2 linked regions of the Stegostoma tigrinum genome follow. The protein of the gene in region 1 purifies or fractionates together with the protein of each later gene. This does not show direct contact. Links are inferred from orthologs where the notes say so. Each region holds a gene or a part of one and is shown in the gene's direction. Other genes may lie near its edges. The genes, in order: ocrl and plekhj1.

What was found.
Region 2: the proteins of ocrl (region 1) and plekhj1 purify together in Homo sapiens (co-immunoprecipitation; 3 studies listed by BioGRID and IntAct, counting the BioPlex papers as one, with this or other methods). This does not show direct contact. The link is inferred for Stegostoma tigrinum from reciprocal best matches to the Homo sapiens genes OCRL and PLEKHJ1.

The regions. Positions count from the first base shown.
Region 1 is NC_081368.1:44,347,594-44,359,680, reverse strand, and holds the start of ocrl (inositol polyphosphate 5-phosphatase OCRL), read left to right. Parts: upstream 1-5,678; 5' UTR 5,679-5,784; coding exon 5,785-5,826; intron 5,827-5,889; exon of another isoform or gene 5,890-6,046; intron 6,047-10,429; exon of another isoform or gene 10,430-10,430; coding exon 10,431-10,510; intron 10,511-12,087. UniProt on the Homo sapiens protein: Catalyzes the hydrolysis of the 5-position phosphate of phosphatidylinositol 4,5-bisphosphate (PtdIns(4,5)P2) and phosphatidylinositol-3,4,5-bisphosphate (PtdIns(3,4,5)P3), with the greatest catalytic activity towards PtdIns(4,5)P2.
Region 2 is NC_081383.1:19,449,267-19,462,267, reverse strand, and holds the start of plekhj1 (pleckstrin homology domain-containing family J member 1), read left to right. Parts: upstream 1-7,488; 5' UTR 7,489-7,888; coding exon 7,889-7,982; intron 7,983-13,001. Other genes in the region: sf3a2 (splicing factor 3A subunit 2), read right to left, coding at 360-406, 2,005-2,076, 2,167-2,292.

The DNA.
Region 1 (12,087 bases):
ATTGCACATTTTCACCCCAATTGCTGTCTAAGCACCAGTCCACATACTTAACCAATTTCTGATCACATACCATCTTAAAATCTTCTTAAGTAACTGGTACCCTGTCCCCAGTATCCACTGGAGCCCAGCATCTCATCATTGTTCACTGTTAGGCCATGACACACAGGAAAGCCTCCAAATGATGTGTCATATTAACTTGTTCTTACAGAAACCAAAGGCAGACAAAAACCAAACAAAACAGAAGCTGCATTACCCTCCAGCATGCAAACAAACTGCTGATATTGTACAGTCAATGAATGGTCACTGAACCCAGTTCTCGTCTAATAGAACTGGCTGCCAACTAAGACCTGTCTGATTTGTAGTGCCTGACGTACTCTGCCATGAATAAGGTTATGTTCCTCCTGCTCAATGTCTTTTTCTTCCTTGTCCTCAGAAGAAGACTGCTCCACCTCTCCCAGTTACTTAACATTCAGTATGTTGCTTCTTGGCATACTCTAGTTATGCTGAGGACAGCAAGTGAGAATTATGTGGCACATTCTGTCCAGAGTTGGGCCCTATCAGACCGGTCAAGGTAAAGCATAGATCTTGGATATCTTCAATCTACGCCACCACTGCACCTCACCTTATGGGGGAAAGGGTATTGAGGAGAAAGGACTATGGTTCTCTGTCTGTGATGCATATTGAGAAGCCTTTCAGCTGCACCCTCTTCACATAACAGAGCTCTGCAACCTTCTGCAGCAGGTTACTGCTGGTCCAGGGCTGGCTGATGTATTCATTTCTCCTCCATTTTTTTTCCATGGTGGCAACTGTGACAACCATATCCACTTTGACTAGGTTCATCGGTCACAGTGGCAATGATCATCTATCGGAAACATAAGGAACAGAAGAGATTCTTAGCAATGGGATTGGCCAACTGTCACATCCATGATAAGTGATGGCTGAATGTGCTCCTCCAAAGAGTGAGGCATGTTGCATTCAGATAAGGAGGACCCTTGGAATAAGCCATAATGCAACTTTGATTTGGGACTTTATTTTACCCAGTGCTCGACTGGTCATGGTGAAGATTGATAGTAGCAGAGGTCAAATGTTGGATAAACACTAGTAACCTTGTCCCAAGCCCCACATCACCCACAAAATTGCATAATTGCAAACAAAATAGGCTTCTACCATTCTTACCTTTCAGTTGGAGAGGTAACCAGTTTGTGTGGCCCTCTATCCTGTAGGAAGTCTTGAATTAACTGTGTGTGATGTGGCCCACTGGTGTCTCATTTAAGGTCACCTGTGGTTACTTCTGCTTCACAGAGTTTTCTGTCTGCAATTTGCAAGGACTAATGACATGGACGACATTGTCTTTGATCAGTATTTGAACTGTTAAAGCCCATCCCTGGCATATCGGACTGGATTGGAGCCTGCATTCTTGGCTAAAAAATGACGCGCTCAGCCCAAGCTTGGTGCAGCAGAATGTGGAAGCAAATGCAGGTCAAGCTGGACACTGTCAGTACCAGGCTTGGTCTGGTAGTCAGATTCACCCGCTTGACCAAACCTCCACATCTCTTTCTGCCTAGTGTTCCCTGGATAGTGTTTCTTCACAAAACCCTGGGCAAAAAAAACTGAAAGAACTGTAGATTGTGGAAATCTGAAACAAAATCAGAAATTGCTGGAAAAGGGTAATTGGATATGAAACTTTAACTCTGATTTCACTTCACAGATGCTGCCAGACATGCTGAGATTTTCCAGTAGTTTCTGACTTTGTTTCACAGAACCTCACCTGTGCTCAACCACCACATTAAACTGAATTTTCACATATCCATCTTACCACCTGGACCCTGTTACTATACCTTGGTGATGACCACCATCTTGCAAATGAAGTTGCAATGATGATTGTATCCTATCATTCCTCCTCCCGTAGCATCCCATGCTCTCTCATGCATTACCAGCTCTCCTCTTACATACTGAGATCCCCTCCATCCCCATCCATGTGCCCTCCACATCCCTGGCTACAGCCCACAATCCCTGCATTAATCCCTTACATCTCCCTCACTCCTCAGCCTATGCAGAGATGGATCACTTGACCATTACTGGTTCATCTGGATGTCTGGCTGTTGCTAAGCTCATGCTCTGTAAGACTGCACTTGACCATCTGCACTAGGACCCCCAAATGCTAGCAGCATCTCTTGATTCCCCTCAGGACTATTCCCCTTCAACTTTGAGACGTGACCATTTGGTTATAGAGATGCAGAACGTTTGCCATGCAGGAAGCTGGCACATTCTCCAGGTGTGAGTTTGATTTTGATCTGATTTATTGTTGTCACATGTCGTATCTGTTCACCCCCGACTGTTGACAAGGGTGACAAATTGCCTGGCTTTGTTTCTACAATCAAGTGCAAAACAATACAGAAGTACTGTGAGACTTTACATTGTTGTTCTTCAAGGGCAACATGTTGAAGACAAAACAAGGTAAGATGGGAATACCGTGAGCATCCAGGTAGTTGCTAAGCAAGCAAGTGCTAAGAGATGATGTGGCACCCCTGAGATGCAGCCTGGTCCAGTTTGCGAGATGGGTGCCTGTTCATGTGAGCTGTGACCTGTCAGTGATATTGCAATGAGAGCTGCAAGTGTGGCTTAAAGTGCAACATCACAGCACAGAGTCACATTGTAAGTGGATTAGGATGTATCAAAGGATGTGGACAGGTTGGCTATTGCCCCACCAACCCCCACCCTGCAAGCATCTGTGGATGTGGGTGGGAAAAGCAACTGCTCTGGGGCCTGTCTGAAATGTTGATGCTGGGTGTCCAGGTTGGCTGTCTGGAGGAACAATCGTGTTTACCAGGTGCACATTCTGACTTTTATTTTGTGAATTCTTGGCATTGAGAATTTGTATCATTCCTATCAGTTGCTTGGTAGCATAGGAACTTGCATATTAGTGTCAATGAGGGCAATATTAAGCAAAAAGCCCTATCGATAGGCATTTCACCGCTCCCTAACAACAATCTTGTCTCAATACCTGGCACGCTGTTGAAAATGTAATTTCATGCTCCCAATATTGAGAAAAGCCCCATTGGACTTCTCACTGAATTCTCTGAGATTCCTTGTCACTTCCCAAGTTGTTCAGGATCCAGTAGGATTCTGCCCGTAAAAACTAAAAAAAATTGTGACAGACGCTGTTACATGTAACAAGTCTGATATTGTTCAATTAACATGTGAACCAATTTCAGCACACAGCGAGGAACTTCCCCACATTCATGTTAGTTATAAATATTGCAAACCCAAACACCAGTAAATAGTTACTCATACATTCTTCTTTTACACTGCACCTGTTGGTGCATCATAGTTTCTCACGCCATTCTGTGCCTGAGAAATACATGCAGCTCCTTTGAATTTCTATGCCTCTGTCTTTAAGCTTTGCCGAATTTAAACATTCACATGTTGCTTTAAGGCTTGTTTGTTATTTCTCAATTGGGAATGAATTTAGGCGAAGAAATCTTCCATCCTTAGCAGGCTTAGACTACATGTAATTCCAGAAATGTAGCTTATCTTAACCAGCCCTCTAAATGGCCAAGAAAGCCTTTTGATTCAAAGACAGTTTGGGATGGACAATCAATGCTAGCTTTGTCAGTGATGCCAACATCCCACGATAACAAAAATAACAAAAAGACCAGCTTTCCTACAATTGGGAGTAATTTTGTAATTGTCTAACATAGAAATAAACAATAAGGTATATCTTATTTATGCATTAGAGGTCAATTATTTTCAATGTGTTATAGTGCACAGTTAATTCTTGTTTAGTATGGTTAACATAGAACAGTACAGCACAGAACAGGCCCTTCAGCCCACAATGTTGTGCCGACAAATCTCAGAAAGTTTATTAACTGCTTTTACTTATTTTAACTCATATTTAAGGAATATTTATGTGGTGCAGAACATTTGCACATGATTCATACTCTGCCAGGATGACAGCTGCACTATTGCAAATGAACATTGTGTTACAAAAGGAAAAATACTATATTGAAACACACTTTTTGTAATCTTTTGTCTTTGTTAAAGCCGCTCAATTTGTAATGCATGTATGCTCTTCTGGTGCACAGTTGTATGAACAAACTCTGTTTTCTTTTCATGGATGTACCTATTTTTGTACTCATTTTGTACGCTGTGTTTGTACAACCATTGCCCATTAAGGTTAGTAAGTTTTCCAACATTGTTTTATTGCCAAATGTCAGAACTGAATGATCTCATACACTAATTCTTCCCTCTTAAATCCCTGGTCTAATTTGGCACTTGTCAGAAAGAGTTAATTCAAAACATTGAGCTTTCCTCATGTTGAAGATGTAGGGTACTGTACTAAAATCTGATTTATCACTTGAATCATAGAATGCCTACAATGTGGAAGAAAGCCATTCGGCCCATCAAGTCCACACCAACCCTCCGAAGAACAGCCCACCTGGACCAAACCCCCTACCCTACCCTGTAACCCTGCATTTCCCATGGTCAATCCACCTAACCTGCACATCTTTGGATTTATTATATCTCTTCACTGGCTCCCAGGCTGTTTGTACTTTTTCCTGCCAAAATGTGCCAGTGTTAATATTTGCACACAATGTGTGAGGTTATGATCGTTGTCCACTGTTGTTTGATGCTGCAGTTCCTCAACTTCTAGTTCTTCTTCAGTCCTGCATTCATCACTACTGACACATGATGTAGGAGGGAAGGTCACGTGCTGGGAAAGTCAACGTGGACTCTTGTGGTCTGATAGCAGAACTGACTTCACATTGCATGTAGTTTATGGCGTTGATCATATGGTTCTTTGCTGCTGTTTTGCAGCTGTAACCATGAATGGGTTTATTTGAAGACACAAGCTTTCAGAATCTGGCTCCTTCCTCAGGTGTCAGTGAGAGGTGCCATCAGACACAATTTATAAGCAAAAGATCAAAGGGTCATAGAACTGATGCAAATGTGTTGAACAAACCTAAGATGGCTGTTAAATCTTCAATCGGTTAGAAAGGATTAATATGCAAATTCCAGAATGTCTTCCAAGTCACTGCCCTGAGATAACTAAGGGTTTTACCAGTATATCGGAGATGACATCTCAGGTCAGACAATGCATTTTAAGTGAGGGGGCCTTGTTTCGAATGACGCTGTGCATCAACACGGAGTTGGACTGGGAGCATGATGCCAAAAGCTGTGTCTTCAAATAAATTTGCTGGACTGTAGTGCCATACGATCTTTGACCTTGTCCACCCAAGTCCAACACTGGCACCTTCATGTATGTGGGTGGAGTGTCCCTGGAAAAGGATCATGAGTTCTGCCCGGCGTGCCTATGCTTCCGTGACTAGAGGGTACCTTAGGGACTACAGTGTACAGTAAATTCAGAAATTGTTGTGGTTTGTTTTATGGTTTGGTTTTTGATTATATTTTAGTGTTGCCCTGCGGTGCAATTAATATCAGAGCTGTCCTCAGAAAAAAAATGCTAGCTATGAGAATGAGAAACGCAATATATTTTGCAGCGTTTTTCAATGTACGTTGTTGCTTATTTCGAGAGATATTAAAATATGCTATAATTAAATTGTGGTGCGCTACCTCTGTAATGTTCAGGAGTGCATTAGCTCATGTAGGAAGGTAGCGCTCCACCCTCCAGGTCAGAAGGTGGCGCCGCTCTTGGCCTGCCCAGTGGGAGGATCGAACTCGTTGGCGTTGGCTGACTGACTGAAGCAATGTCGCCGAGGTGAAGGTACCGAGCTGTGGTCCGAATTGCGTGGCGGGTAGGGGAACTGTACGCCGGGAAACCTTATGGAGAAGCCGGCACCGAGAGGAAAAGGGAAGCCCGTGATAATATCCTTTAACATGGGGCAGATGAGCAAATTAGCGACTGGGTGTAACATAGGGCCGGGATCCTGGCAACTGAGGAACACAACAGAAACGAGCTGGGGCCCGGCCGGCTCAAAGAGCGGAGGCAGCGCTGGGCCCAGCCTGAATCTTCCTACCAGCAGCCCACTCATCGGTCCAGTGCACTTCTTCCACCACTGCAACCTGCCCACCACCTCTTAACCCTGTAAGATAGACAGTGGTTGCTGATCCGTGAAGTTTTTTTTAATTCGAGACTCTTTGGAGATTTTATCCTGAACGCATTGTGTTAGTTGTTAGAAACACTGTACTTCCAGAGTTTGCAGGAATGGTTTGTTTTGTTGCTGAGTTGGTGCTCTGCAATCTACCCTTTTGTGGTTTTGCTCTGCAGTGCTGATGCACGAGATCATTAGTTTGTGACGAAGACACTTCGTTGTCGTTTGTAAGCTTGCATATTTATTTCAAAGCTCTGCAGTTTTTGCGAAAGGCTTGTATTAATATAGTGTTGATATATGCATAGGTTAGTTAGGAATCTACATATGGTGTTAACCACGCCCACCCCCCACCCCATTGAATCCGAATGGCTCGCCTCTTGAGAGGACCAAAATGAACGGTGGTGGGCCGTTGCACTATGAGGTGCATCAGAGCTGAGCCTCATCCCAATTCCAACTCGTGTCAGTGTTTTTGATGGAATCATAACATAGCAAACGAGAGTAGGATTTCTGTTGTTTTCCTCTTTCAGCTTTTTTTATTCATTAACGTTGTGAATGTTGCTGGGTAGGCCAGCATTTATTGCCCATCTATTTTGCCCACGAAGCAGTTAAAATTCCAACACTTAGCTGTGGCTTTGGGGATGCGTGTAGTGTGCAGTGTCCTTCCTTAATGGACTTTAATGAACCTTATGGGTTTTTCCAACCATCAATAATAGTTTCATGAGTATCATTAGACTCTTAATTCCATTTTTTTCAGTTGCATGTGAGATCCCCGGGATATTACTTGGCTCTCCGGATTAATCCTGTGTCAAAGACACCACAAGACCATGACCTCCCCTTAAACAGAATTGTTTAAATTATTTGTTGTTCGTTCCAAGGTGTTAAAGCCAGTTGTAACTCTAGTTACCACTCATTTTGGATTGTCTAACCAAGCATGCACAGGCCTACTGATTTATGTAGCTTAACATAATCTCACATTGTGATCAATTGTTATGAAAATGAACTTGAATGTGTGATGATAACATTCTGACATTCTGATGCGGATAACAAATCGGACTATGAATTTATGGATTTGTTTCAGTCAGAATGTTGAAAATAAAAGTTTCTGAAATCATTACTCCAATACTACGATTGTTGCTACATTTACCACATTCCAAGCAGACCATTAGAAAGAAACAACTGGTTGTGGTTTAACCTAAGAGTCGTTGGGCGTCAGATGAGGGAAGAAGTTAAGGGGAGCCTTTCGTAGTAACCTCAGTTGGTGCAGGAATTGAACCCACATTTTTTGGTGTTAACTCTGTTTTGCAAACCAGTTGTCCAGCCAACTGGGCTAATCAACTTTATTTTTTTCTAAGACCCCTGTAGATTCCATTTCTCATCAGGCGTAAGTCTTCTTTACGCAACATGATTGCATTAGAAAGCCACATCAATAAGCCTTCAATTTGTACATAATGGTTCTGAAACCTCTTGGGTGTTTCGCTATTTTGACTTGCTGGAAGTATAGTAAAAGCTATCCAAACTGATCTCTCAGATCAGAAATGTAAATGACAAAAATAGGGGAAGGAAATTGAAGGAAAGAGTTTTTGGGATATATTCTGGAGTTATTCAAAACTCTAAAGGATACATGTTCAGGGAACTGCATTGTTAATAATTCTGAAGTCATAAATTTGATCATTAGGTTCAGTTTTCACTTTGTAAGAGAAGTCAGAACAGTTTGCGTTTAGCTATGTTATATATGATTTGGTGACTAGCTAGAATATGTTGTCCATGGAAAGTGGAAAATGGCAATAAATTTAGGATGATGGATATGGAGAAAAAGGGTTAAGGACTATGATCATCTATGTAAAAATCAAAAGAACTGCAGATGCTGTAAATCAGAAACAAGAGCAAAACTTCTGGAAATGCTCGGCAGGTCTGGCACATCTCTGAAGAGAAATCAGAGTAACATTGTGAATCTGGTGATTCTTACTCAGAACATTCTGAGGAACCTTCACCAGACCGAAACGTTAACTCTGATTTCTCTGAAGAGATGCTACCAGACCTGCTGAGCTTTTCCAGCAACTCCTGTTTTTGTTTCTGTTCATCGTGATGTTTTGAGCTTTGGTTCATTTGGATGGTCTGTAATTCTCTCTTTCAGATCTTGTTTGTGACAGTTTTTTTCTATTCAGTTCTCTATGTCATTCGTAAAATGCTGTAATCACGGCCAGGCATCTATTCAATTTTTGTTTGTAATTTCCGTGACCTTCTTTCATTTTTCTACTTCAGTCAAACCATTTTTGACTAAAATTCACTACACTTAATACTTGGTAAATCTTGCACCTCTAAGAGTAGCATTAATATTTTGCAAGTGGAGTGAGCATTTTTGTAATATACATCATGCTGTATGAAATACTTACTGAGTTAAAATCCAGGAGCTCCCTTCCAGTCAGCACTGTACATGGTCCGATGAGTGGTTCAAGAAAGCAGCTCACCACCACATCACCAAAAGCTATACAGAATAGGCAATAAATGTGGGCCTAGTAAGTGATGTCTGTATCCCACAAATGTATTATAAAAGTTGGATTGATAATATATTGTGAACCTGTTTACTGGCCTGTACAGATGTGGTTACAGTGATGATGCTGTCCCCTCTGAAGTTAGAATGACCCATGTTGAAACCTCACTCCTGGGCAGACTTCATACTCCTATGTTGACAATATTGTGTATTACTCAACAAATCCTGCATTCTAAGTATTTTTGTCTTTCTGGTATGATATTAAACTGAAGCTCTGTGTGCCTGTCAGTTGATCAAAAAAGATGAGTGTAATTCAGAAGAAATTGTGCTGTTGGCCTGAGCATCATTTATCCTGTCACTCGTATCACCAAAAATGGAGTAGTTGGTCATTTGTTTAATTATTGTTTGTGCAATTGAGAGAGAGAGACAGATTTTTAAAAGTACAAAAATAGCTTACTAGTTGCACTTTTATTCCCTTTAGAATGTTCAGTGAAGGAGGATATGGCATATCTTTCATTTGTTTGTCACAATATTGTAATTTCAAGAAAAGATTTTTTGGAATTGCACAGGCAATTTTATAATACTCAGTGTTTATCATTATGGTTGTGGGCAGTCTAACTGTACGTGATGCTTTGCATCCTTGTCACCAGTAACTTATTCTTAGTTCTCAGCTACAAGTGGGGAAATTGTTGTGCTATGATTGTTGTATTTAATGGTACGAGGAAACAACTGACACAAATTGAAGAAAGCTCAGTGAAAAATATTTGAGGTATGTACTTTGAGAAACTAAATTGATAAACAGACATACATACTTTTTTTCAGTATGAATTGCAATCAGACGCTAAAAATTATTGCATTTGTATTATAAGCAAGTAGTTTTATTTTAGCTAATAAACTTTTGTTTGAAAACAAAATTCACTGCATTACTATTAATGAGTTTAATGCTGAGTTCTTTAGTACAGTGAAGGACTTGCTAGTATTTAATTGTGAATCTTTTCTGGGACATACTTTTGAGCTTTGCAGTCATTACGAAATGAAGGGAAACATCCTTACTTTAAAATCAAGACAGTCATTGATGCTTGCATCTAGATTATACACACCCAGTTAGTAAAACCATTAATAGATTTGTGGAACAGAATAGGTGAAATCCTGAGTTTTTCATTCAGGTTGAGGTGATGAAAATGACAGATTATACTGGATAAAATTGAGTGACCTTTCTTAGTTGTCCTGTGGAATAATGCATGGTGCATTTGATGCTGTCATACTCCTTACATTACCTTGAACAATAAAATGATAAATATATTTTACTGAAAGAAAAATCGGCTGGTGTCCCGTACTTTATAATTGATTCTAACTGACTTTAGACATCAGTTTAAATTTATTCATATTGGAATTTGTCTATTTATAACAAAAAAAGGTAATCACATACAATGCTTTTATTTTAGTTTATGTTCAGATTTTCAGTTCAAAAGTGAATCCAAATTTTAAAAATAGCCTCAATTTTTGCCTTTATTTAAATTTGTTTCATTGCCTGTTTTTATTGGAATTTTACTTGTCACTTTGCTGAATTTTGATTGATATTACCCTTGTTTTGTCACTGTTTTGCACTTACAGAATTTAAGTAAGTGGAAGGGAATTTTCAGTTCAGGACCAACGAAGGCTCCAACCAAATTGCTGTATCCCTTGATTCAATTGGTGTCTTTGGTTCTCTGACTTTTCTTTCTCTGCTGCATCCAGCTTCAAATCTAATTTTTGTACATCTCTGTTTTCTTAAAGGAAAAATTTGGACATAGATATTCCCAATGACCAGCAATAATCAGTAATTTGATTACATTTATTTTTATCCTCCTTGATCTGAAATATATGGTTCCTTAATAACTTGAAAAGCTGTCAATGGTTCTGAGCTGAAAGATGGGCTGAAAGTACCCAGAGTTTTGTATCTTATGGAAAATAAAGGTGAATATGAGTAAGTATGTGCATGTTTTCATTTGGCTTTGTTTGCTGTAATTTTTTCAAGTTGAGCTACTGTTCAAACAATGTCATAATTTTACCTCTTGTTCAGGTATGACTGTTTGAGTGCCTGTACACATGAATCTTTTCAATGTGTTTGTGAGATCCAGATTTAGAAGGAAATCCCTTTTACTGACTAAACCATGTTTTGTGTAAGAAACCTCTGTTAACGAGAGACGGGGTATAAGTGAACACCATTTCCATATACTTGTTCAGATAGACTGGAGTCTACTTGTTCTGACATTGCCAAGATGTCTCTAAGGTGCTGTGCAAATGAATGTCCTTGCTTCAGTAAACACACACCAATTTAAGAAAAGGTGTTAAAGTTGTGGCATTGCCTATCCCCAGAGTACTAGGCATGTTTGGGCAATGGATAAATTGCTGAATTGTTAGACAAGAGTCAAGTTATGTGGGTGTAGGATACAGTAGTGGATCTCATGAGCTGAACCTATTCATCATTATTGAATAATGGATCAGACAATAGAGACAATTATGACCTCTGACCGCTCTTACTTGCATTATCAGGTTCATGTTTTCTGAGGTGTGTACCTCTAGAAATTCAACTTCTGTTATTTTGCTGCCTCCAAACAATTTTATTCCTGATGCTGAACTCTAGTGTGGGCTGTCTGCAAGTTTATTCTGCCCTGCACCCTCCATAACTCTTCCACCACGTAACCACTCCCCACCAAACTTGTTTGCAATGTTCAGAATACATCTTGACAAGTTTTTGTTTTCCTGTAGACTGAGTCTGTGCCAATTATGTTGTAATCAGAACTGACGGCAACTTCTGCTTTTATCCTTTTTTAATAAAAACAAAAATGATGCAAAGTATTAGGCAAATTAGAATACAGCCACTTCTAATTGTTAGAAATAGCAGAATCCTCTACTGCCATTCTTTTACCTTGTCATTAATAGATGATGGTAGATTTTGGATTATTGCAAGTTAATTCACTGAAGTTTATTATAGGTTTGGTGAAGGGAAAGAGGATTAGCCAGTGTTGTTAGTTGTGGGATTTGTTATTTAGAGGATCACAGATTTCAAACTATCTCTATTTATATTTTTAAACAAGCACTGTATTTGATTAAAGTCCAATGAGGTTTGTGATTTCAGGGTATATTTCCTCTTAAATTTGAACATTGCACATAATCAATTAATGTCATTTTGATCTAGAGGCAAAAATCTATCCCTTACCAATCTAACCTGTATGTAATTTCAGTTCCATGCCAAAATGGATAATGTGTAAGTCTCAAGTCCACAAGTGTATTAGCCACTCAGCTGTATGAAACAAATGCCAGTATCATGATAAGGTGACAATCTGCCACCAGCTTCGTAACTATGGCGAGAAGTAAAGGTCAGACCTGATAGCAGTGCTCAAATCCAAGAAGGAATTAAATGTAATCTTGTATTGAACTGGTCCTGGCCACATCCTTTCTTGCAAGTAAAATAATCCATTCATACAAAATATACTAGTTTGAATGACCAGAATTCCACATGGCATACTGTGTTTTACTGTCTCTAATAAATTTGTTACT
Region 2 (13,001 bases), on another chromosome or scaffold:
GAACTGAACACAGAATAATTGCAAAAACATATTTTTACTGGATGTGAGTTTGCTCGCTGAGCTGGAAGGTTAGTTTTCAGACGTTTCGTCACCATTCTAGGTAACATCATCAGTGAGCCTCCGACGAAGCGTTGGTGTTATGTCCCGCTTTCTATTTATATGTTAAGGTTATAAATAGAAAGCGGGACATAACACCAGCGCTTTGTCAGAGGCTCACTGATGATGTTACCTAGAATGGTGACGAAACATCTGAAAACTAACCTTCCAGCTTAGCGATCAAACTCCCATCCAGAGCTACCTGAGCTACAAATCTTCTCAAAACTCACATATTTTTACATTAAACATAATTTTACACTTACAGATTAGTCTGATGTTTTTTCCCTTGTGTGTGTGCCAAATAGCTTCCCTATAGAAGAAAAATTCAAATCAAGTTAAAACAGTACTTTAAAAGAGTCTAATTTTATATGCAATTAAAGGATAGGCAACTTGGGTAAATTAACTGAACAAACCTCAACATCAGAAATGTAAAAGATAGTTCCAAGAATACAACACTTTATTTGAGAGAAAACCTGATTTAAAAGAAAAAATTGCTGGTGGTACCGGGAGGAAGATCAGTAGGTTAAAGCTTTGTATTTGCTTTTGAATACTCGATCTAATTTAAGTCCTAACAGGCAGGTCAATAAAACCCCTATATTAAGGATGAGAATGTCAAATGCATTTGAGTTATTTTCAATGCAATTTCCAAAAAGCAAGTTCATCAATAATCTTGTTCTTAAAGCAGTATTTAGACTCATCCAAACTAGTGGAAAACAGAAGTGTCCAGCTTAAAGAATTTGATGTAAACCTATTTAAATATCCACATATGTTCTGTGGGAAATCATCCCATTATCAGCATTACTTTTGTCTTGATGTAATAGAAATTTAGTCCAACCATATAAAAATGAATTAAGTGACTTTAGAAGATGTGTTGCAAAATATTATGGAAAAATTAATTACATACAAACTCAGCTAGCTTAAATAAGATTACGCAAAAAATAAAGATGTTACACCTGATGTTACACCTCAAACTGTTGACTGAAAAATAAATCACATCAGCTCAAAGATAGCACCGTAAATCCGAAATGCAACCTTGGCTTGAGTTTCAATTATCGACTAAAATTTACTGTAAAAGGTTTTTTGTTTAAGTGTTTACCTAATTTTCTTACTCATGAGATGTGGGTGCCATTGGCAAGGGTAGTATTTATTGCTCATCCCCAACTGAAGAAGTTGAATAAGTGACATAGATGAGCCGGCCTCTAATACCACTGCAGTCTATGTGCTTATAGGTCCAGCCAAAACACTGTTATTGAGCAAGTTCATAATTTTTAGAGATGCAGGAAGAACGAGCATGACATAGAGGGAGAGCTGCAGGTGATGATGTTCACATGCACCTACTTTGCTTGTTTTTCAAGATGATAAGGGTTATATTTCTGAAGATGCTACCAAAGCATTCTTGGTGAATTGCTGGAATGCATTTTGCTGTAGATGCCATCATGGTGTACCAATGGAGGATGCGAGCAAATGTTGAAGGTGGTGGACAGGGTCATAATGAGCTGCTTTGTCCTGTTTTGTTCAACTTTAATAATTACAGTAGCATTTCTAAGCAAATAAGATAACAATGCCAGTCCAACAACAGCACAAGAACAATTTCATAACATTCCTGTCTATCTGAACATTAGGTTGGAAGAGTTCAGATCTGACAGCAAAAACGACAATGGCTCACTCAGACTTTTATTCTTCTAATGTGCATAAAGTGAGTGTCGTGTCCTAGGTAACAAAGAAGGGAGGCCAAGACAAGACTGTCAGAACCTGTTGCAGTATTTTTCACAATGCCTTTGGACGTAGCTGACAGCTGGCAACAGAAATAAAGATCTTTATTGCCTTATACTGCCATCTGAAGCCCAGATGAACTCCCTCTCCCAGCAGACATTTTCCACTTTTGTGTCAACAAAAAACTAAACTTACCTCATTGTTGTGAAGTGTTAGACAAAGTTTACATTCATAAGAACCCAGGTGATTTTTCATAAAATAGGGATCCTAAAAATTAGAAAGAGAATAGTAATAAAATTTCAATATGCCGAGAGATTTGCAGGAATTTACTGGTACTGATTGCACTCAGAAACTAACCTTATTTATGTCAATGGTTTCCAAAGCTAACTGTCTCAACCGTTCTCTTCGATCTCGATTGCTTTCAGAGGAGGAAGCAACCCCTCCACTGCCAGTTTTCCCTCCTGGTCGATGTTGAAAATCCATAGTTATTTGATGAAGAGTATCTTTTTACAAAATCTGAAAGAGTTTAAAAACAAAAATGCAGATATATTAATAGTCAGTTTCACTTTCTGTACAGAAACTTATCGTTTGTTTCACAAAATGGCAACTTTATGAGGAATGTTTTTGAAGTACTGCATGAATGATCCGATGTCACAGACAATTGTACATCTCAGGAAAAGACAGACAAGGGCCTCTGACGTCCTGAGGTCCACTAGCTGTGAGCATCGCTCTGCAGTTGGAGTGACAGATTGCAGAATCACCTGTGTAATTCTTTTATACACATGTTTTTACAAAAAGGTCAAGTACATTCTAAAGATTTCTTGACGTTATTAACTTATAGACTTCACTATCTTAAATATGGTATAGATTTTAACAATGAAACGTCAGCTTTATGAGCTGGAAAAATATTCATAGTAAATATTTCATACTTGCAAATACCATTCTCTGTTGTAATGCATAGACTTTACCTTTTCACACTTGTGATCTGTTTTTAAATCCAGCCAGTATATTTGTTGATGCCAACTGATTGACTATTACGGCTATGTGTTAAATCAGTTTGGCAAGATTCAACCAGTTCCTGGTAGCAAAGAAGCATTTGTGCAGACTTGTTACTTTTCCTTCACTTTTATACTTTACCAATTTGATTAATCAGGGCTGAGAGTTCAATACAGGTCCTGAAACCATAGTTATAAGCTCCACATTAGTCTCAACAATTAGAAACCAAAAGCAACATCAGAGCTTGGACAATAAAGTATAAAGAGGCTGGTTTGGGTTAAAACCTAGCACCCATGACGAATATATTGTAAAATTAGTCCACAAGTGCAAACTGAAGGTTTGCTCACACCTGCAAAATTCAGGCACCAGCTGTAAATCCTGCAGTGAAGATCAAGTTAGTCTGATCAATTCTAAGCTCACCATTAGAACCCATTCTTCCCCTTTCAATACATTGCCTTCTTGCAGGTTGCCAAATAACACTGTTACTTCACACTAAAATAGTCCATTGATGTGTTAAGCATCTCCAAAAATTTAATTCTCACAAGCTCTCTATCAGCTTCAGCTAATCATCACTGCCCATTATCACGTCCATCCTGACTAAACTGAATTGATTTCTTGTGCCAATTTCAAAGGCCCTACCCCACTCATTCAATCCATGTATAGCTTCTCTTTAATCTATGAAATCTGTAACACTACACTCCAGCCATTGGTATCCATTTCTTTAAATTGGTTTTACTTCTGTCTCCCAACACATATATTCTAATTGCTTAGTACACATCCTTGAAATTTTTCATACTTCTCTACCTGCTTCCTATAGCCTCATGAAAACTGAACTGTTCAAATGCACTACTAGTCTTCCATTGTTCATTTCTCCCCCTTGTAAAATGCTGAGATGGTCACCAATCTCATTAATATAAGTTGTAGTTGGAGTGAAGCTGACGAAATAGAATGCTGGCGTAATTCCAATTGTAAGGACTCTGGAGGAGGAACACTACATTGGAACAAAATAGCAATTATTTTCATAGCTTCCTATGAACACATAAACCAAAAATTCACCAGGATGTTACCAGGACTTGAGGGTTTTTTTATTCATTTTATGGGATGTGGGCACTGCAGGCTGGCCAGCATTTATTGTCCATTCCTAGCTGCCCTTGAGAAGGTGGTGGTGAGCTGCCTTCTTGAACTGATGTAGCCTATCATTGTGGGTTGACCCACAATGCCATCGGGGAGGGAATTCCAGGATTTTGACCCAGTGACTGTGAAGGAACATCAATGTATATCCAAGTCAGGATGGTGAATGGCTTGGAGGGGAACTTGAACTTGGTGGTGTTCTTGTGTATCTACTGCCCTTCTCTTTCGAGATGGAAGTTATCATGGGTTTGGAAGGTGCTGTCAGAGGATCTTTGGTGAATTTCTGCAATGCATCTTGTAGATAGTACACACTGCTGCAACTGTGTGTTGGGGGTGGAGGGAGTGAATGTTTGAGAATGTAGTGCCAAAATTTTGGCATTAGTCCCTAGATGTTAGCAAGGAGGACTGTAGAGGGTTGACAGGGCTTTTAATAGACAGAAAGCAGAGAGTAGGAATTAACAGACCATGCTCAGGAAAGCAGGCTGTTAAATAATGCACAAAACTATATTGACTTGTGTTCATAAGCTATTTTCAGTCCAATAATTTCAGCTTAGGCACCAACTGTCATATTTCAAAATTTGCTGATGACACCAATTTGGGTGGGTACATTGTGAAACAGACTAAGAAAGGCTTCAAGAAGAATTTAGACAAACTTAGTGAATTGGCTAGAATATGCAGGTGGAAAATAATGTGAGTCAATGTGCAGTTATTTGCTTTAATTGAGAAACAAAAACAGAAAAGCAGACTTTTTCCTAAATGGTGAGAGGTTGGAAACTGAGGATGTCCAAAGATCCTACAAGTTAGCATTCAGGTTCAACAAATAACTAGGAAGGCATATGGTATGCTGGCTCTCCATCATAAGGGGACTTGAAAACAGGAATAAAAATATCTTGCTGCAGTTGAATAAAGCCTTTGCATGACCTCACCTGGAGTACAGTGTGCAGTTTGATTCCCATATCTAACAAAGGGATATGCATGCCAGAACAGGAGGGGAATGGAGGTTCACTAGATTAATCCCTGGGGTAGTGTAATTTTTCTATGATGGATTGAAGATGATGGATCTGCATTCTCTAAAGTTTCAAGACAAAATGAGGGATGAACTCACTAAAACTTACATAATGCTTACAGGATGCGAGAAGGCAGGGAAGCTGTTTCATCTGGCTGGTAAGTATAATTCCAGGGGACATAAACTAAGGAAGGGTAAGCTAAGTTCAAATCAAGACGTGCATGAATCTTGTCACTCAGAGGGTAATGAATATTGGAATTCTCTACCCAGGGGCTTCGGAAACTAAAAAAAAATTTGAGATATTCAAGTCAGAAATTAATGATATCAAACAGTACTAATATAGTGCAGGGAAGTGGTGTTGAAGTAAACGAATGGTGATGCAGGCTTGACTAGTTACATGGTCTGTTCCTGTTCCCAATGTAAATGCTAAGTTGCTGTTGTTGAACACATCCTGGTTTAATACTTCATCCAAAAAGCATAACATCTTCAAAGATGCAGAGTTGTCTCAAAATTCACTTAAATATTGAGCACTTACATGCTCAGCTACTGGAGGGCAGGTTAAATTTACTATATTCAGACTTGGAGATGAGCTGATCCCAAGTGATACTAGGAACGAGGCCAAAGTCAGTTGTTCCAAACAGCAAACCAAGCTTGTTTATGGTGGATCCTTGGTGAGCAATTGAAGAGAGATAGACTCAGTTTTTCGCAAAGGGTCAGAACATCAGCTAAGATCATTCCAGAGAAGTTTCTAACCCATTCACACTCATCCAAACAGGGGCAGCATCAAATCAAGGAAACAGCAAGGACACAAATGTTGGCATTATCTGCATACTTGGGTAGAATGTAACGGTACTAACAGCTGAAATTGTGGTCAGGCAATATATATTTTAAAAAACTGGTAGAAGATTAACATTCTGGGAACACACATGGCATAGGAACAAAAAGATAAATATTTGTGATGATGTGCTGAATGTTTCAACTCAAGCCATTGGGAAAAACTACAGAATAGAACAGATGCAACCAGTGATCAATCTTGTGAAATGTAGTTAAAGCTGAAGCAAAAATCTGTCGTCAGAAATAAAGAAGATTCCCTCACCACACAAGTGTTTGGAAGCATATATATTAACAAAAACATTCCTCCTTACATCATTCATGTACATATGCAGTACAAACATTTTCCACTACTCTTAAACTAAATGTATGGAAAAGGAATAGACCACCCAGTTCATTAAGCTTGGGCCACCACATAATACAAATGTCATTGACTTTCTGCCTTAACTTCATAAATCCTATATCAGGAATTTGTGAGACACCAACAATCCATCAATCTTAACCTTGAATATACCTAATAACACAGCACCTGTTAGTTTAGTCCAAATACCTCATCCTTTATCCTGAGATTATGGCCCCTCATTTTTCGTTTAACATCCAGAGAAAACAGCTTATCTATATTCACCCTATCATGTCCTGTAAGTTTCAATGAGTTCAACTCCAAATCTTCAAAGCTCTAAGAAATATATACCCAATCTCCTCAATCCCTGGTATAACAAACATGCTGTCGGAGGGATTAATTTGATGAACTGCCATTGTGCTCCTTCTATGGCAAGTACATCCCCTTTTCAGAAGGGTCGAGTGACATACTGGTAAACACCCTACATCTGAACCAGAAGGCCTGGGTTAAAGTCCCTCTGATGCTCTAGAGGTACATCATAATATTTCTGAACAAGTTGATCAAAAAATATTTATCCCCTGCTCAGGATAGGAAAACAAAACTGTAGGCAGTACTCCAAGACAGAATTCTAAAGATTCAAAATCTAACCCATTAAGTGATAACAAAGTGTGAAGCTGGATGAACACAGCAGGCCAAGCAGCATCTTAGGAGCACAAAAGCTGATGTTTCGGGCCTAGACCCTTCATCAGAAAAAGATTCTCGGATTCTCCAGCATCTGCAGTTCCCACTATCTCTAACCCATTAAGTGCGTTGTTGTAAAAACTTCTCCTCATCTCAGTGTTAGGTACTCGGTCCTCTATGCCGAACCACCTTTCTCCTCACACCACCACCCAAAAGTCAAGGGGAAACAAACTCTCAACCTGGTTTCAGTCAGACCAAGCACTTTGCTTATTCAGCTCACTCCGAACAAAGTTGACCCCAATCGCTCCAGCTTTACCATTGAACAAACAAGCAGACACAAAGGAAAACGTTGCATTAAACAGCCTGGAAACACAGGCCTCAGGTTCCTTGGCCAGCTCAGAAAATGGCCGGGTTAACAACCGGTCCGGGGGGGGGGGAAGTGAGGGAAAGAACATTCATCATGACGAAGGTATATTGTGCCTGACCCACCAAGCTCCGGCTACCAGGGACCAATAAACTAGCGGCCTCGAACCATCAGCCCCGCGACTACCTGAACACGCCTCCAACAGCCACCAAAACCGACCGGAAGAAAGTCGCGGCGCACCGGAACTTACTGTTATCAGTAACTTTATTAACAAAGAACACTGGCGCGATGCGCCAAAAACCGGAAGAAGGTCGTGGACCACCGGAAGTGGGGCTTTTCAATAACTTTATTGACAAGAAGACGCGGTGGATTCTGAGGGAGGTCGAGCGTTGGGGTGAGGTGCGGTTTTTGTTCCGTCTGCCGCTCGGTGTGCCGCGTAGTGCCAGCCTCCGCCGCAGCTCGAAGTCATGATTTGTCGCTAGATTGGGCGTGCCCGTGTTTATTGACTTTTAGATATGCCGCAGACTTTATCGCGATTTTGTACCAACGGCACGCACCTCCCGCTCGGCCTTCGCTTCCAGAGATAACGCTCACCAGGTGGGGCAGCTTTGTCCAGGGTGGTGGCTGTGTCTGAAGGCAAGGAACTGCTCATTAACATCCACCCCCCCCCCCTCCCCTCGGTGAGGGAAGGGGTGATATCGAGGGGGAAGGGGCCTTTCTGCCAGCTACCATGAGATACAATGAGAAGGAGCTGCTGTGTCTCTCCAAACAACCGGCCGAGAAGGCAGCCGAGCTCACCATGAAGGGCCCAAAGCGCAACGACGGTAAGGAGCAATCTAAGCTGCTCGAGAAACAAAAATAGAACTTGCTGGAAAAGCTCAGCAGGTCTGGCAACATTTGTGGGGTGGGGTGGGGTGGGTTGGGGAGAAACAGTTAAGGTTTCGGGCCCGGTGACCCTTCCTCAGAATTGGGGTCGGATGGGTTGAAAGGGATTTCACTTGCTCAGCAGGGAGGATGAAAACAGTCCTGGGGTGTTACATTGGAACCAATACCTACCTCATAATTTTGTAACCCGCTGGTGACATTGAGTGCAACGTGCAAGAGTTGACTCTGCCCACCTTTCCTTCGAGTATCTAAATTAGCAGTTATCACTTCTACTTAAACCCAGTTGCCTGTTCCATTTCTTAAATTCGCTGCAAGCACTACAATCAGAAAACAGTGGTTATGCACCGCAAATTGTTTAGCTCTATTATATGTCAATGTTAGCTGTCGATGGAGGGGACAGCAGAGAGTGTAAAGTAAATGCCAACCTATTATGATTGCATTTTATAAGTTTTTACTGTAACAATAACCCCTACCCTGGGGACAGGGAAACCACATGAACCAAAAAAATGTTATGAATGTTTCTTTTTTAAAAAAAGAAAGCTTCTATTTTAGTGTGGGGTCTGTAGCAGAAAAAGAGTGGGTTGGGGGGAGAGGGAGAGATTTGAGTGTGAAGTCTCATAGCCAGAAAACAAGATCATCAATAAATGGAGTTAAAGGGCAGCTGCTCATTGGGCTGGAAAGACAAACACAAGGTGGCCTGCAGATGTGGGAGTAATGGTGATTAGACTGTAAATGTATTTGCCGATAAGGAGAGTAACATAAAATTGTTAAAATCTGGATGTTAATGTGAGTCTTGTGGATAGAGGTGATGGTCGAACTGGGTTTGTTGTGCAATAAATAAGTCTTTTGAGTATGCTGAGTTCATGTTGAGTGGTCTGGAGGTGACTAGCATGAATGAGGGTTTAAATGGCCAATGATCCTGTATAGGAATGGAGACATTTGTTCATATGAGCATGATTTTTGTGATGTGTTGAAATGATTTCAAATTCAGTTTGGAGATTGATAACCATCCAATTCATTCAAAAATGTTGACTAGAGAGAGGTCTAAGAGGTCTGACATCTGTATTTACAAAGCTAAAAATGCTGACTATAGTTAGTATGTTGAGAGCATCTCTAGAGAGCGATACAGAGTTAATGTTTCAGGTGTGGAAAATATCAGCTGTAACAAGCTTTAGTAAGTGAAGGAGCATGGGAATGTGGATTTGGGAACAGAAGTAGGCCATTTGGCCTTTCCTTTTGCCTTTCCCATTAAATCATACGTGATCTGATTGTGGTCTCCATTCCATTTTCCTATCCAAAACTATCCACTGTATCAAATTCACTCATGGCCTTGTATATTTCAATAAGATCCCCTCATTCTACTAAGTTCTTGGAAGGAACTAGCCCACCCAGCTCAGTCGTTTCTTTGTAAGATGAGCCCTTCATATCAGAAATGAGCCAATTGAACCTTGTACACTTTTTTGAAAAAAAGTGTACATGTATTTGAGATATGGTTTCACCAAAGCCCTGCAGCAATAAAATGTTCCTGCTTATGTATTCCATTCCCCTTGTAATAATTGCCATTCTATTTGTCTCCCTAATCACTTGCCAGAGCTGCAAACTGATTTTTGTTTTGATTTGCATCACAGGTCACACAGACACAGTTTGGCAATCTCTGCCTGCACTGTTTTAAATAGTGGGTACATTTCCGTTTTTCCTTCCAAAGTAGACAAATTCACATTAAATTCAATCTGCCAGATTTTTGCCCTCTGTCAAATACCTGTTTCTAGACCCTTTACCTGCTTTTGGCAACTTACCCATCTTACATTTGACAATGATAATTGCTAATGAGTCTGCCCTATATTCAGCCCCATCATCCAAGAGGCAAGGCAAGTGAATGAGAGAAGAAAACTTAATCCCACCTGCCATCACCCATCTTGGTTGGCCTAATTCTACTTGATTAAAACCTCTAATGTCTGTTATATTTAAAGTTTTTTTTCCTTTAAAGATTGCATCCCTCAAATATTAGCTTTTTTCTCCACAGATGTTACTTGCTCCACTGAATAGCTCCTGCAATTTGTTCACTTCAGCGTCTGCAATATTTGCTTTGTGGGAGAGTTTAAACTGAAGCACAAGTTTGAATGAAAAGCAGTCCGAAACATTAACAAGTCATTCTCTTTCTAAATTCTATATATAACTAACATTTAAAAGCAGTTGTGTTAGGACTGATTGCTCTAGTTTATTGCTTTGGCCTGTTTATCATCATTTCCTGCTTGTGGGTGTTTAATCATTAGATAACATGCCTTCTGGCTGCCTTGCATTACAGCAATATCCAGATCAAATCGCTAGTATATTTTGCATTTTGTAACATCCTTGCAATTTTTTTCTGTGCCCTTTCTAGATCAGTAACATCCTCCTTATAGCAGGATGGCCAGAATTGGCCTTGCCATTGTCTTGTATAATGCAATATTTGTCACAACTCCTATACTCAATCTTCTAGCCAATGAAGGCAAGTATGCCAAATGCTGCCTTCACCAACCTAGCTACCTGCAATGCCACTTTCAAGAAACTGTGAACCTGCACCCCTAGATTCCTCTGCTCAGCAACACTCTCCAGGACATACCAGCTGTGTAAGTCCTGCCCTTGTTTACTTTACCAAAATGCAGCACCTCACATCAATCCAAATTAAACTCCACCTGTCACTACTTGGCCCATTGGCCTTATTTAGTCAAGATTTCATTGTACTCATAGATTACCTCTTTCACAGTCTGCTGTGTCAACAATTTTGGTGTCATCCGCAAACTAACTTACTATATCTCCTATATTCTCATCCAAATTGTTGACATAAATGATGAACAACAGTGAACCCATCCTTGCACCACACTGCTGGTCGCAAGCCTCCAGTCCAAATAACATCCCTCTACTTTTAAACGAAAGGTGTAACCAGAAAATACCAAGACCCCTTCTCCCGTGCCACCCCCCCCCCCATCAGATATTCCCTCAGACTGGGATAGCACCAGGTGAAACACTGAGCAAAGCCTGCTTACTGTTTTGAAACAGGAAATAAAGTTTCCTTGACTGTATTGTGAAAACAAAGACCCTATTACTTTGGAGTGGGGGGGTAAATAAATAAAGAAACGAACAAAAAATGGCTGTCCCTTGACTCTGTCTCCGCCAATTTCTGTTGGACAGGGACCACAAAGGATCAAAATAAAAATATATTCAAAGAAAATTAAAGGCTAGCAATGCACCAACACCACCATCTGTCTTCTACCATCAAGCCAATTTTGTATTCATTTGGATAGCATGTGATTTAACCTCACTAACCAATCTACTGCCAGGACTGGGGGATTTGAATTATAAGGAGACGCTTCAAAGGCTGGTACTTTTTCATCCCTGGAGTGTCAGGGGCTGTAGGTTTATAAAACCATGAGGGGCATCGATGAGGTGAATAAGCAAGGTCTGTTTTCCAAAGGTATGGAAGTCCTAAACAAAAGGTATAGGTTTAAGGTGAGCAGGGAAAGCATTAAAAGTGATCTGATGGGTAACTTTTTCTCACAGGGTGGTATGTGTATGGAATGAGCTGCTAGTGGAAGTTGTGAAGGTGGGTACATTTACAACACTTAAGAGGCATCTGGATGGGTACATGAATAGGAAAAGTTTAGTAATGCAGCATGAAATCAGAAACCTGTCTGTGCCAAATGTAATCCCAAACTAAACTGCTCCCACTTGCCTGCTCCTAGCCCATATCCCTCCAAAATTACCTATTCAGTTACTTATCCAAATGTCTTTTAAACGTTGTAATTGTACCTACAGCCACCGCTTCCTCAAAATTCATTGCACACACAAACCACCCTCTTTTAAAAAAAATTTCGTCTCATGCCTTTTTTAAATCTTTCCACTGACACCTTAATAATATGTCCTCTGGTCTTGAAATCCCCATCCTAGGGAAAAGACAACTACTATTAACTATCTGTACCCTTCATTGTCTTTTAAACTTCGGTAACTTCTTTATGCTCCAGTGAGAAATATCCCAGCGTATCTTTATAACTCAAACCTTCCATGTCTGGCAACATCTTGGTAAAGGGGAGGAGAACAGCAACACATATTCTGCTTGGGAACCCTGCAGGCCAATGATATCAATGTGGATTTCACAAGCTTCAAAATCGACCCCCTCCCACCCCCCAAATCCCAAAACCGGCCCAGCTTGCCCCCACCTCCCTAAAGTGTTCTTCCTCTCACCCATCCCCTCCTCCCACCTCAAGCCACACCTCCATTCCCTACCTACTAACCTCATCCCACCCCCTTGACCTGTCCGTCCTCCCTGGACTGACCTATTCCCTCCCTACCTCCCCACCTATACTCACCTCTACAGGCTCCATCCCCACCCCTTCAACTTGTCTGACTCCTCTCCATCTGTCTTCTCCTCTCTTCATCTCCGATCTGCCTCCTCCTTTCTCCCTATTTATTTCAGAACCCTCTTCCCCCTCCCTGTTTTCTGATGAAGGGTCTAGGCCTGAAACATCAGCTTTTGTGCTCCTAAGGTGCTGCTTGGCTGGCTGTGTTCATCCAGCTCCACGCTTTTTGTTATCTCTAACATCCTGGTAAATCTCTTTTGAACCATCTCCAGCTTAATGGAGGGATATAGGCCAAATTTACGCAAATGGGACTAGTTCAGTTTAGAGTACCTAGTCAGCGTGGACAAGCTGGACTGAAGAGTCATACAGCATGGAAACAAACCCTTATAATCCTATGATTCTAAATTTTTCTCTAATTAACCTATTTACCTAATCAGCTGATCCCCCTCCATTCAGAGGTAAGGCACAGTACCACTTTGCCCAAAAGAGGGCCCCAATTCTATGATTCTATAATTAGAAAATGTAACTAATCAAACTGCACCAGCAACATACCTGCAAGGAAGGTAACAAATACAAAATAATTGATATTCTCTCAAATTCAATTAGTTGAGAACAGGTCAG